Neodiprion lecontei: one gene and its partner. The protein of the gene in region 1 binds, or shares a complex with, the protein of each later gene. Links are inferred from orthologs where the notes say so. Each region holds a gene or a part of one and is shown on either strand. Other genes may lie near its edges.

Region 1 (7,328 bases):
ACTTTTTGATGACATTAGATTTATTTGAGCCACACTGTCCCCCGTATACAGCGACTGTCCTTGTGGAATTGAGAGTGAACTCACTGAAACAGCATATTGTAACGGTAGGGATACATTCTACTGGTGTCATTATAATGAATAATTCCTCAGGTCCTGTATACTGTGCTTTGCATGCAAGTTGAACTTTTTCTAGAATGATTACAACCTCAGATTCTTCACCCTATATTCTAGATTTCGTACAAAAATACGTCCGCTGAACCGAGGCTGTTAACTTTGCCAGGCTGTGAGGTCGCGTGTCCATTAGGGAAATTTGTAGAATTAACTAACGACATGATACCAAAAGATTGGGCAAAAGAATGTCTTCTAGGCTGGGAACAATACGCACACAACATTACCATGCCATCTATATTTGGTAAGATAAATCTTGTTTAGTTAGAATCCCTCAGTTTATGTGAGATTAAAAACGTTCATAAGGTTTAAAGAAATTTTGGAAGCAACTTCTTACGGTACTTCTCTGTATGGAGAGTGCATCCATGAAAGCGTCACATGCTGAGCGTAATGCCAGACTTCCCATTATTGCAGTGATAGTATACCTATTTATACTCTGACTTGCGTGTTAATAGTATATCACTGCACAGTGTTACTATAGCTTTCTTATAGTGGACTCAACATACGACTTGCCTATATTACTGTTGCGGCAACATAAGACACAACTATATTTTTTTCTAGTGTTTTGAATAATTAACTAAAAGTTGTTTAAAGTTCAACAGACCATGATTGCGAAAAAGTTAATAAACGAGTCTACATAGTTATCTGTAAAGAATTAACAAGTACATGTAAATGCAATTGATTTGACCTAATCTTTGTAAATAATTTCGAGAAATATTCAATGTATATACATTAGTAACATAGATATTGAATTTCGTATGAACAATTTCTTTATGATTTTAATTCACCAATAGTATTCATATATCAATTTAACTTTAACTTACATTCCACTTGAAATATTTCATTACAAAAATGTTTGAGAAGTTCCTTTCCCGTGACGGCTGTACCCCCTTTAGTTTTTATTGACAATTCATACTGCATCTTCTCATTTCTAATTTCTTACTCTATTGGTTTCTATTTCAGGTATTTCAATATTGTTGCTGGTCATCATCATATTACTAGGTTTGTTAATCATCGGCGTTGTCTACTATCACCGCAACTGTGATAGTAACCGTTATTACTTTAAGTTGACGACAGATCCTATTTAATTTAATAATAAAATCCGACTTATGATTATTGCGGATACTAACACGGGCATTGGAATAATTTAGTATTATAAAAAGAAAATTTTCCAGTGTGAAGTTCGTCCCTTATTTTTATTGATCGTTGAACACACGCTCAACTTTATTCACAGGATCAGCACAAAAGTCACCTGATATGACGCGGTCATTTTGTACTCGAAATTTTTCATGATAGTGCAATTTGAGTAAGTTAGGTGTTATGGGTTAATTCAACTTTCAACTTTGCTGTAAAAAACAAATTCTATTTACATTATAATAAATATAAAACAGAGACGACAAAATTAAGATTTAGTGACACAAAGTGGTATTGTATAAATGATTTTAAAAAAATTAGTCGTGTATTTCAGAAAGACAGAATCCTCATTTTCTACCTTTCTCAAAGACACGCGCAAGCAACGCTGCGTAACTACGGCGAGCGTTCATTGCAGCACTTCCAATACGGTTACGCAGTGCGGTTACACCGCGTGCTATGGCAAAGGGCAGCCCCCTGGCACCACTGCTCGTATACTAAAAAATTGTACGCGTTTTGTCCCCGTTTTTTTAGTTCCTCTAAGTGGCGCTAGTAGACTTCTGACACGCTCGCTGACCGCGCGCAAGCCTGTCAGACAACTACTAGCGCCACTAGTGGTGGAGGTTGGCGGCAGAATCGAGGGACATTTTGCGAACCACTTTTGCAGCGTGTGTCAGGGGGCTGGCAAAGGGATATGAGTGCCCAGTATGGAGGGTAAAGCTAATATGCGTGAGCTCCGGCAAACGCATGCGGAAGGCGACTCGTACGATGCGTACTAAGTAGGCCGCTCCCTCACTAGCGCTAGCGGCGAAAATTCACAACATCGGCTTCATTTTCGAGCACGGTTTTACAGCCGGAGTACCCAGACCTGTCTATAAGACCGTGGTATGAACCTAGGTATGAATAAGTATAGATGAAAACAAACTGTAAGGTTATGCGCACACAACGTTGGATAAGAAAATGATAAGTCAGAAAGAGTATTTGAAGAAATACCTGTCATCCGACAAGGACAAAAAGAAGATTAAAAAAAAGAAACCCAAAATCGGGTCCAAAACGTAAGTGTTATCTTGTACGACTGTTTGATCGAGCAATAATACGATTTTTATTAGGTTAGATCGCAATGACCCTGGAATACAATTCCCACGATTTTAAAATCTGCAGCGCAATAATATCCATTAATTTTGCTTTATTTCCTCCAGTGTTAAAATTATTGACGATGACATTGATCTTAAAAATATGAGAGCAATAGAAGATGGGGAATTCGACATTTACAACAACACGGAAGACGGACCACAAATCGCTGGTATTGTCGACGAACGCGGTCCAGTTGACTTTTCCGACAAGAAAAGGTGGAAAATTATAACAGACGATATTGATGGAGACATAACTGTAACCAGCATTGACAGAAACGAGAGAATATCTGAGGCGATGAGCCAGTCAAGCAGAATACCTGCTCCTAATTCCAGAAATCGTTCTCCATCTGATGATGGTAAAGGCAGTCCACCTCATAGGCAAAGGAATGATTCCGACCAGAAAGAATCTAGTCGTAAGACACTATCGTCAAAGAAACTGCGTCAACATTCTATTTCTAGTTTGATTGAAAAGCCACCTGCTTCAGAGGACAGTGACTTCAGTCCACCTCGGAGAGTAAAAAAAAACAATGACTTGGAAAAGTTCACTCGACGTAGGAAATCTTTTAAAAAGAAACAAAGCCGAGCAGTTTCCAGCCCTGCAAGAAATTCCTCAGATTCTGAAAACAACGACACTAGTCCACCTAGCAGGACCAGAAAGGATTCTGATTCAGACGAAACTAGGTGCAAGAAATCTTCGAAGAAGAAACGGCGGGTTGAAAATCCTTGCAACTCCGAGGACAGCAAATGCAGCCAACCTCGAATATTCCGGAAGAACTCTGATTTGGATGAATCGATTTGCAGAAAATCATTCAAGAAACGACACAGTGCTTTCTCTTTGAATTTTGAGGATAATGACTTAAGACTGCCTCGGAGGATTAGAAAAGACTCGGACTCTGATCTTAGCCCACCCAGAAATTCAAAGGCTGAAAGAATTGATTGTACTAAACATTCGAAACAACGTGAAAATTCATTGACAAGTTCTCGGCACGACAAGCATTACAATAGAACTTCTAAAGCATCTCCTTCTGTACATTTTGAATCTTTACGTTCTAGAGGAAAAGATGAGTACAAATCAGGGAAACATAGTAATAGGAGTAATTCATCCGAACATGAGAGAAGTAATCGACAATCGAGAAAAGATGGAACAAAATTGAACAGCAGGAGAAGAAAGGAAGGTGATAAAGTTCGGTCAATATCACCTCAGGATAGACGACGAGATGGCAAAAAGGGAGGAACAAATAAGCATTCCAGAAAGGATGAAGATGACTCTGCACCTGATTTGAGTCCACCTAGGGAGACTCGGATGAATCATGAAGATTTGGATTCAGAATCCAAACCATTACAAAAAACTTCTAAAAATTATCAAGAGGTGCCTATTTCTTTGAAATGATTTATCTATTGCATTGCAAATTGCTTTTCTTATTTGATAATTTAATAAATCTATATTAGAATGATTCGAGATCTTTATCATGTGACAAAGGTATCAATTTTTGCTCTCAGATGAGTGAAGAGACAACTGGTTTTGGGCAGGCTCCAATTTTCCGCGATCGTAAAACTGGTAGAAGACGAGACTTCGCGGCAGAAAGACGCGACAAAGAACAGAAGGATGAAAAGCGGAAAGAATTGGAGGATAAATATGCTCAGTGGGGAAGAGGGTATGTTTTTCTATGGATATGTTAACCTCTTTATAGCAGGGCTGGTCGAGTTATCGATAGATCGATATATCGACCAGCAGTCAGGTTAGGGACTCCACGTAAGAAATTGATAGAACTTATTTCTAAATTTCACGTCCAATAAAAGGTTGATTTCAACTTACATTTCTCCGCTGTTAAAAGGTTAATATTACGATCACATCATAATTACCGGGCTACGGGCTACGGGCTACAGGCTACTTATTATTGTTGATCAAGCAAAGATTTGCGTTCAAAAGTTTGTACATTATCTAAGTAAAAATTAAATATTTTCCTTGGAAATGAAGGTCAGTAACAACACCAAAAAATTGTTTCGGTCCAGGTGGGGCCTCCCTCAAAACGATTATATATTTACAGAACCATCTATCACGAGAAAGAAGAATAGGTAACACAGGTGAATTACTTAAAATTAATATCTAACGAGACTTATGAGATTAACAAGGCAACTTCTGCCGATATAATTGAAAAGAAATTACCTAGTAATAACGTGGAATATTTCAATTTTGAAGAACAACACGAAGAAGTCAATATTTAAAAACAAAGTACAATAAAAAAACCAGTGTTAGATTAAAAAACTGCGACACGAAACTCCCAAGCATTCATCATGGTTAATAAAATTAAATTAAACACACAAACGAAATTTTTGAACAAAGATCTATTTTAAAACATGTAGATCCTCCAGCGTGCAGTGGAAATAGAACTAAATCAGTCAGTAGTAAGAAGCATAGACAATGAGACAACGAGTTCAATAAATATAAAAATATGATAAGAAGATGAGATCAAGAGCAAGCTCAGTCGGTAATTAGTGGTTATGGTTGATGTATTACAGAAGTGTAAATAGCGCTGAGATGTTCAATATCTTGTCTTAGATTGACCGCGTTAGGATGTGCAACAATGTTGCACGTTGTTGTTAACCTTTTGTAATAAAAGGGCTCAACATCTAAAATACTAGGTTTAGTACAATTGAAAGCATGATTAAATTCAATCGAGTGTCCAGTCAGACCTGTATAATTATCATCATGCTCATGGATGTTTCATTTATGTTCACTAATTCTTGTATGTAACTGCCTACTTGTTTGTCCTACGTATGACAAATTACATTGGTTGTAAGGAATTTTATAAACGACGCAAGAACGCTTATCCAAGGGTAGCAGATCTTTGCCAGAGTCAAACACAGACGATAAATCGTGTGATAAATTTTTTCTGACAAATTGAATATTATATTTTGAGAAAATTATACTTAAAGACTCGAATAGACCAGAAACATATGAGATAGATGCAAAGTTTTTTTGATTAACAGGTGCAACGGCTACTTCATTATTGTTGTTGGAATCACGAACAGATACAATAGACTTATATTTGTTATGTATATGTTTGTTAAGAAGGGCAGGTGGATAATTATTCTTGCGTAGTACATGATGAATCAAGGAAAGGTTCTTGTTATGAAATTCGATACTAGATAATCTAATCGCTCTATCAACCAAGCAATTGATTGTTCCAATCTTGTATGATCTGCGATGGTGAGAATGAAAATTTAGGTACCTCTGTGACCGGGTGCCTTTGTGGAACCAATCAGTTTTGAAAAGCTGATTGTCATTAATGATAAATACATCCAAAATACTGATTCGACGATTGCATTAATTGAATTTTTTGGTGTTGTTACTGACCTTCATTTCCAAGGAAAATATTTACTGCAACATTACCGAATTTAAGAGACCATTATTCATTATCTAAGTAACTTTCGAACTTTCATTTGATACGTACATTCTTATTCACAGTTTGAAGCAAGTTGAAGACCACAAAGAAAAGCTGGACAGAGATTTGTACGAGATGAGTAAACCCCTGGCAAGGTACGCGGATGATGCGGATTTGGAGCGAGAACTCAAAGCACAGGAAAGAGAAGGGGATCCAATGCTAGCGTACATAAAACGGAAGCAGATAAAAGAAGGAAAACAGGAGCCAGGTATTGAAATAAAAACTTCATAACTGTGCCAAATGCAATTGTATTTTAGATCGCAGTTCAAACACAAGTTTTTAATATGAAATTTCAGAAAAACCCAAATACCAAGGACCCTTTATGCCCAACCGTTTTGGCATTCAACCAGGATATCGTTGGGATGGTGTAGATCGGAGTAACGGTTATGAGAAGAAGTGGTTCGATGCACAAAACGCGAGGAAGGCAGTACAGGAAGAAGCGTATAAATGGAGTACCGCCGACATGTAGTGAATAAATGTACATATATACAATTTTTCCTGGTACGTCAATCAGGTTTGCTGCTTTCAAATTTCATAGGTATGCAACTTGTACTTTGGAACTTGCATCAGGAAATATTAGATTCTGTTCCTTGCGGTGATCATCAATCAGGAATAAATTATGTCGGTTAATATAACTACCATTCATCTTAGGGGCAGATGAAGCTTAAAATTATTGAAAATCAATAAATAAAAAAATACGTCATGTTTTTAATACGTATTCATTCGTTTTACGATTTACGAGTGAATACAAATACAAAGAAATACCGGTCAATTCCTGTGGTTTACCGGTTAGTAAAGAAAGAAATCTGTAGTTCAGTGTGTCGTACTACTATAATCGGTCCTTACCGATCGAGGAAAACGTCACTTATTATCTTCTTGCATCCTGATTTTTACTATTAAGCGCAATTCCAAATGAAATACCGATTGCAGAACAAATTAATTCAAAAACTTTTTGGTTTACTGTGATACTAAAGCTTGGCATTATTATTTCGTAAAATAAAACTTTTTTTGATATTTATATTTCGCAATGCATGTGGAGCTGCGCTGATTGTGATATTTTCATATGGCTGATGCGTAGGCTTTGACGTTCACTGAAGAATATAAAGACGGATACCCCTGGGTGAATTTTTGTGACCAGTTTTCGGCGGGAAAGTAGGCCCAGATGGGCTTGGGAACGTTTCTGTTTTATCAATTCTACCTAACGGGCTCGCACCTACATTCGTAGCAGCCCAAGTAGTGTCAGTATGGAAGCTTGGGATTGAGTCTGTACCACGGTCTTACTTACATACAGGTCTGGCAACGAAGCCAATTTTCTACAGAGCGGCGTGGTTCTCTTGCTGTCCGTGGTTCTTAGTGTTTGAAATAGCCATGTCGCGGCGCTGCTATCTAGAGATGCACTATTATTAGGTCGGCGCTGCATTGCGCACGCATTGATTATCCATCCTTTGAT
Region 2 (5,719 bases), on another chromosome or scaffold:
CATTTATTTAATTTCAGTTGATAATATCGAAGAGGTTGTTCAAAAAAAGATACGTGATTTGTAGTCACCTAAAATAAAAAGAGTACCGAAAACGATAATCGAAGGTAGTATAGCAAGAAGATAACCCGAGAATTTCCTTGCGCGTATCTATAATTTAACATGCAGATCACTTTGTCACAAACCATAGTCATCCTTATCGTAAGAAAATTTTTTTTTCATTTAATATTTAGTGTCACAAGTGCGCGTCGTAGATTTTTATTATCGTCAAGTGAAAAACGTGTCGGCGCAAAAAGTAGAAACACGAAGCTTTAGAATTTGATACACGTGACAAAAAAAAAGTTGATGATCGATTGCAAAATCTTCGGAAAGTTTGGAGTCTCGTGTGCAAAATAATTCAATAATTGATGAAATTTAAAACTTTGAAAAATATCGAAAAACTTGACTACCAGGAGTTTAGATGTGCATATATGTATATGATTTTAGTAATGGGTGAAGCAAGGTGGAAAACTATAGCCCAAAATTTGCAAAGAAATTAAAATTATTTAATTCACTTAACAGCAACATTCGTCAAATCCCAGAATCAACTTTGTTCGAATAACAATTTCATACTCAACGGTGATCGATATCAATTTAAACTAGTTTTGCCATTTCATACGAATTCTTTAGTCATGAATTTATTCATTTTTATATTTATTTATTCATAAATTTATAAATTTTGCAGGATAAAAGTCGTTTTTACGTAGATCAGTACAAATTGGCGTTGATAGGTAATTAGCCAGTGCTTACTTGAATTTAGAATTGAAGTATCAACTCTGAATTGTTTTTTATCACTTATTGTACTCCAAGAAATTGATGTCGGAATTATTTTTAATTTTCAGAATTATTTTTTACTTTTTTATTCGAAAAATTTTATTGGTAATCTGTTTAAATTCCCTTGATTCGAAACATTGAATAAAGTAGCAGTTGTTTATTTTGAAAATTAGAAAAACTTAACTGAGAATTAATTCTTCCCCTTCGACGAGCAAATTCGTATCATTATACAATTACGTTCAATATTTAAATTAAAAAACTCAAATCAGGAATTTTTCGGAAAATTTTTATTCTATCACCGCAATTAAAAATTAACGCTGTTAATCGTAATTTTTAGTTTGAAACTGAAGAATAGCCCGACACTGTTACTTTGTATTACGTAATTGTGTAAAAAATGTGCAGGCAGCGGGTTGCAAGACGATGCGTTCGCCGGGTGCCAAATACCTTATTTGAAACCATCCGTATACAATTGATAACGATTTGATTACAAATAATCCGGAAAATCCATCTCGGGACACTCGGCCGAAATTCCGAGAGGGGACGCTGTAACGAATAGCGAATAAGATATTCCAGGCTTTTTGTTTCTTTTGTCTTTCGGTTCCGAGCAATTATTGCTGGTAGCGTTGAAGCGTCCAGGTTTCGAATTGAGAGTTGCGCGCTTGAGGTTTGTAAAACATGTTCATCCTTTGGTTAACTTCTTCGGCTATTTCTCCTATCGTTTGCATCAACGAAAGATTTCCAACTCTGTTAACAGTAAACCAAGTGTATGTTTATTGTGCATCTATTTAGATAACACAATTTTTGTCGATCCGATGGAGTTACATTAGCATTGCTGAATTTGGTTCGGAGTGATCTTGCATAGTTGAAACGTATACGGCGTCGTCACGGGGTTGTATGAAAATTTCAGTCTGTTCCGGTTCGTCTTTTCCATAGGCATAATAATATTCATTCGACTCTGAAAAATCTGGATATACGCGGTAAACGATGGTAACGTCAGTTCTCGTCGTCTTTACGTACCGACCATTTGTCGGATTGGGTTGCGTGTGCAAGAAAGGCCGCAGAGAGCGCCACGTGACGATCAATTTATCACGTACACATTTCATTACGAAAAGTCTCATAAGGCTTTCAGTCTTTACGTGTCCCTCAGTCAACGTCTGTTGACGAACAGAGTTGCATCGGTTCGTGCTGTACAACTTGGGGAAGAAGTCACCAGAAGTCAAGGATACTTTGAACAAGGTAAGTTGTAAACATATTAGGAATAATTATTACCGTGCCTCAATTTTTCTTTCTGGTGCAAGTGAATCGTACACCAAAGACAAACTTTCTCGCGAGCAACAGTTTATTGTCATTTTTCCTTTTATTATTTGTACCGTAATTTGAATTATTCTACTCCAATCGTCCGGTCTAGGGACTATTCTTGGCCGGCCGGTGGCATCCCTGCTATTTACGAGACAATCCGACAAATGGCGGAAACGACGGATCTTGGTCGGTGTTTGACAATTTGAAACGTCGTACTTTTTGCTCGGATTTTTAGCGTCGCGAATGAATCGAAATATCAGAAATTCAGTAGCGATCTTAACATTAATCGCAGATGCCTACATTTAGTGAAACCCACTAGCCATATTTTGTAAGTATTTTACTTTTGATAATCCACTGGGTTATAAAATTTTTCGGATGCTTTCGCCTTCAGTCAACTCGTGTACATAACCTCAAACAACAAATGTTGGTGTGTGTTGAGTGGGAAAATTATTAGTGGCAATCAAGGAGACTTGATTGAATTGACGTCACTTATTGCATCCTCCCTACACGCAATTTGGCGTATTTCCAGAGCTGCGAGATTATTTTTAACATTCCGAATAATCTTAACGCCAGAATAAAATTCAATACGGCAACCCAGCGCATACTATCGGATGCCTTAACCTCTAAAATTATTTGTTCGATTCCATGTCTATGGTTTAATTCAACAGGAAAATCTGGATAATGGGGCGAACGAAAAGGGAACGCAAGGCTAGCAGTTCAGAGAACGAGTCTGATAGTTCCAAGGACGAAGGTTCGTCGAATTCAAGTGATGCCAAAGAACAAGCACCGCCTTCGCCGAAGCAGCGCAAGAGGCAGATGGAGAAAGAAGAACGTGTAAGGCCAAAGGAAATGCGCCAGGACAGAAACGTAGAAAGATCAAGATGGGAAAGCCCGGACGGAAGGAAGCGGAAGCACAGTCCTCAGTCTCAGAACCAACGGTACCCGGCGTCACGCGACGACAGAAGAAAGGGTCACAGAGAGCGCCAGGACGGCGGAGAGGCCAGAACCAAGTGGGAGAAAAAGGAGAGAGATAGAGATATAGACAGAGATTTGGAAAAGCGAAGGAAGGAGGATAACCGCAGCCAAAATGAATCTGACAACCAGCGGAGGCGGGAACGAGATGCTCCGGAAAGGTCGAACAGAAACTACAACGGTGAAAATCGACCCGTCGATAGGTTTGACGGCAGAAGGCAGAACGAAAGGAAGTCCCCTCGGCGAGACGAGAGGAACAGGGGGTTTGAAGAGCGAGAACGAGGTAGACATAACAGCGGTAGAGGTGGCAGGCGAGGGGGTAGAGGAAACAGATTCGGGGATGGCGATGGGCCGAGAAGCAGTTTCGACGGCTCCAGAGTAAAGGGTGAGCCGTCGCCGGAATGGGGAAAAGCGGATATGAAAAAGGAGAACAATGGGAAGCCAATTGAGAAGGAGAAGCCAAATTTCGAGCCTTCTGGAAAGTTGACGGAAGACGCAAATACTGTGAACGGTGTGGTGATAAAATACACAGAACCAATGGAGGCGCGAAAGCCGAAGCGCCGTTGGAGACTCTATCCCTTCAAGGGTGAGAAGGCGTTGCCCACCCTCTACGTCCATAGGCAGTCTGCTTACCTGATGGGCAGGGATCGCAAGGTTGCGGATATTCCTCTGGACCATCCGTCTTGCTCCAAACAGCATGCCGCTCTGCAGTTTAGGCTTGTCTCATTCCAGAGGGAAGATGGTGGCGAAGGAAAGAGGGTCAGACCGTATTTGATAGACCTAGAATCTGCCAACGGCACTCATGTTAATGACATCAAACTCGAGCCTAAAAGGTATCACGAGCTCTTGGAGAGGGATGTTCTGCGCTTTGGATTCAGCTCTCGGGAATACGTTCTTCTGCACGAACAGAGTAAGGATGATGCTCTGGATGATGACGTCCCATTTACATCTGCTGTTCCGGTGAGAAATTATTAATGACTTTTGTTCTTTCGTCTTTCTACTTGATGTCAAGTTTCCGTACAGTTGTAATTTACCTTTCATACTTTGACAGCGATAAAACGATATAATCTCAAAATTTTACGAAACAAGACATAAAACCAGGCAACTAATGAATAATAAATCTTGGATTTAAATTTCTCTTTGCTCCAAAACTGTCAAAGATTTGTCATCAGAAGGATACTTTTAACCGAGCAGTTTTTCTGTTATATTGCAATAATCCACAGCGCACTGTATATTTTGTTGTTGGCTCTACATATTTACCATAGAATTCAGTAAAATTCCCCAAAGAAATTTGCGGGCTCAAATTAGTTGATGAGAATGTAGTTTCCTTAATTTTATTTCATCATTTTTGTTTGCAGAAATGAGCTTAACGGGCTTACTGAGCATACGCGGTGCTCGAAGAGGTGGAATGTCAATGTAGAACGATGATATTGCAATTTTATGGAACGCAGGTGTATCGCTAGATTGCATCGGTAGTTTGTTGGCAACGAGCGCTGGAAGAGTGTTTTGAAGTTTTAGAAAGATTAAATGTAAATCAATAGATCTTGATGAAATATTTTATAGATATTTTAAGATCAAGGAATCGAGAAATTTGGATTGTTATTTCTTCAGAATTGTTTACTTTATTGTCAATCCTGATTCACAAACTTTGTAATGTTCTATCCGGTAAGACATGGCGTACAAAATTGAATCTGTACACTACCAATGTGAAAAATAAAACAATCGCATAAATTAAAAATATAAAATGTCATGAATCTGTGTTACCTCTTCATTTCACTGTCGGTTATTTTATTTATTTACATCGTTACTTCCTACGTTACGCATTAGGACGTAGACGGATAGTGGCCAAGTATCAGATACGTTGGGGTAATTTTGGTCACCATTTTCGGCCCACGAATCTTTGGATATTTATTACTTAAACAATATACGAGCAATTTTTCACTGACGCAAAGTAATATTTACAAAAGTAATTACATCATTCAATTATAATCGTTTATATTCCATGTAATGATTCCTTCTTTCATTTTTTATACAATATAATAAAATTAGTATCAAATGATCAAGGAACAATACAAATGTTACGTATGCAAAATGACATTTGAAATGGAAATGAAGAAAAATAACTACAATAAGACATGAAATGATTATTTTAAGCGAACTCGTTTTCAAGTTTATTCAAGTTGACTGGAAGATGCTTAATACTTGAGCATGTGTGTGAAAATGTGGTGTAAGTTGATGGATGAAAATCTAATGATGACATACTAGAAAAACATTTAAAAATATAATTATTTACAATTTGATTCACGCTAGCTTATATTTATTCATTTATCTTAATTATTATCGTTTAAAAGGCACTTTAAAAGTTAAATATATGAGCAGCACGTTGAAATAATTTAATTACAGCAATATCGGTACACGCCTTTAATATACGTTTTTAAAGCTTGATAAAATATCTCAACCTTCAACTTTGCGTATAATAATATTGTTGTCTATGATAAATTTAAACTTAACAATTTCGTATACATCGTCGCAATCGTTTGCCTTTGATTTCAACAACACGTACGTACGTCAATTCATAGTTCGGCATTTTAAAACAGGTTCCAATGTTTCTTACCGATTACTTATCATAATAGTAACG

Evidence for each region. The genes of interacting proteins can lie anywhere in the genome.
Region 2: BUD13 homolog (region 1) and FHA domain-containing protein DDL share a complex: the UniProt entries of both Homo sapiens proteins name them as parts of the minor spliceosome. The link is inferred for Neodiprion lecontei from reciprocal best matches to the Homo sapiens genes BUD13 and SNIP1.

What each region holds. Positions count from the first base shown.
Region 1 is NC_060263.1:19,782,997-19,790,324, reverse strand, and holds BUD13 homolog, read left to right. Parts: upstream 1-1,947; 5' UTR 1,948-2,259; coding exon 2,260-2,354; intron 2,355-2,498; coding exon 2,499-3,801; intron 3,802-3,932; coding exon 3,933-4,087; intron 4,088-5,901; coding exon 5,902-6,086; intron 6,087-6,174; coding exon 6,175-6,347; 3' UTR 6,348-6,585; downstream 6,586-7,328. Other genes in the region: prostatic acid phosphatase, read left to right, coding at 1-104, 232-412, 1,132-1,256. UniProt on the Homo sapiens protein: Involved in pre-mRNA splicing as component of the activated spliceosome. As a component of the minor spliceosome, involved in the splicing of U12-type introns in pre-mRNAs.
Region 2 is NC_060266.1:20,093,124-20,098,842, reverse strand, and holds FHA domain-containing protein DDL, read left to right. Parts: upstream 1-1,961; 5' UTR 1,962-2,046; intron 2,047-2,273; exon of another isoform or gene 2,274-2,437; intron 2,438-2,777; 5' UTR 2,778-2,790; coding exon 2,791-4,041; intron 4,042-4,439; coding exon 4,440-4,445; 3' UTR 4,446-4,835; downstream 4,836-5,719. UniProt on the Homo sapiens protein: Required for pre-mRNA splicing as component of the spliceosome. As a component of the minor spliceosome, involved in the splicing of U12-type introns in pre-mRNAs. Down-regulates NF-kappa-B signaling by competing with RELA for CREBBP/EP300 binding.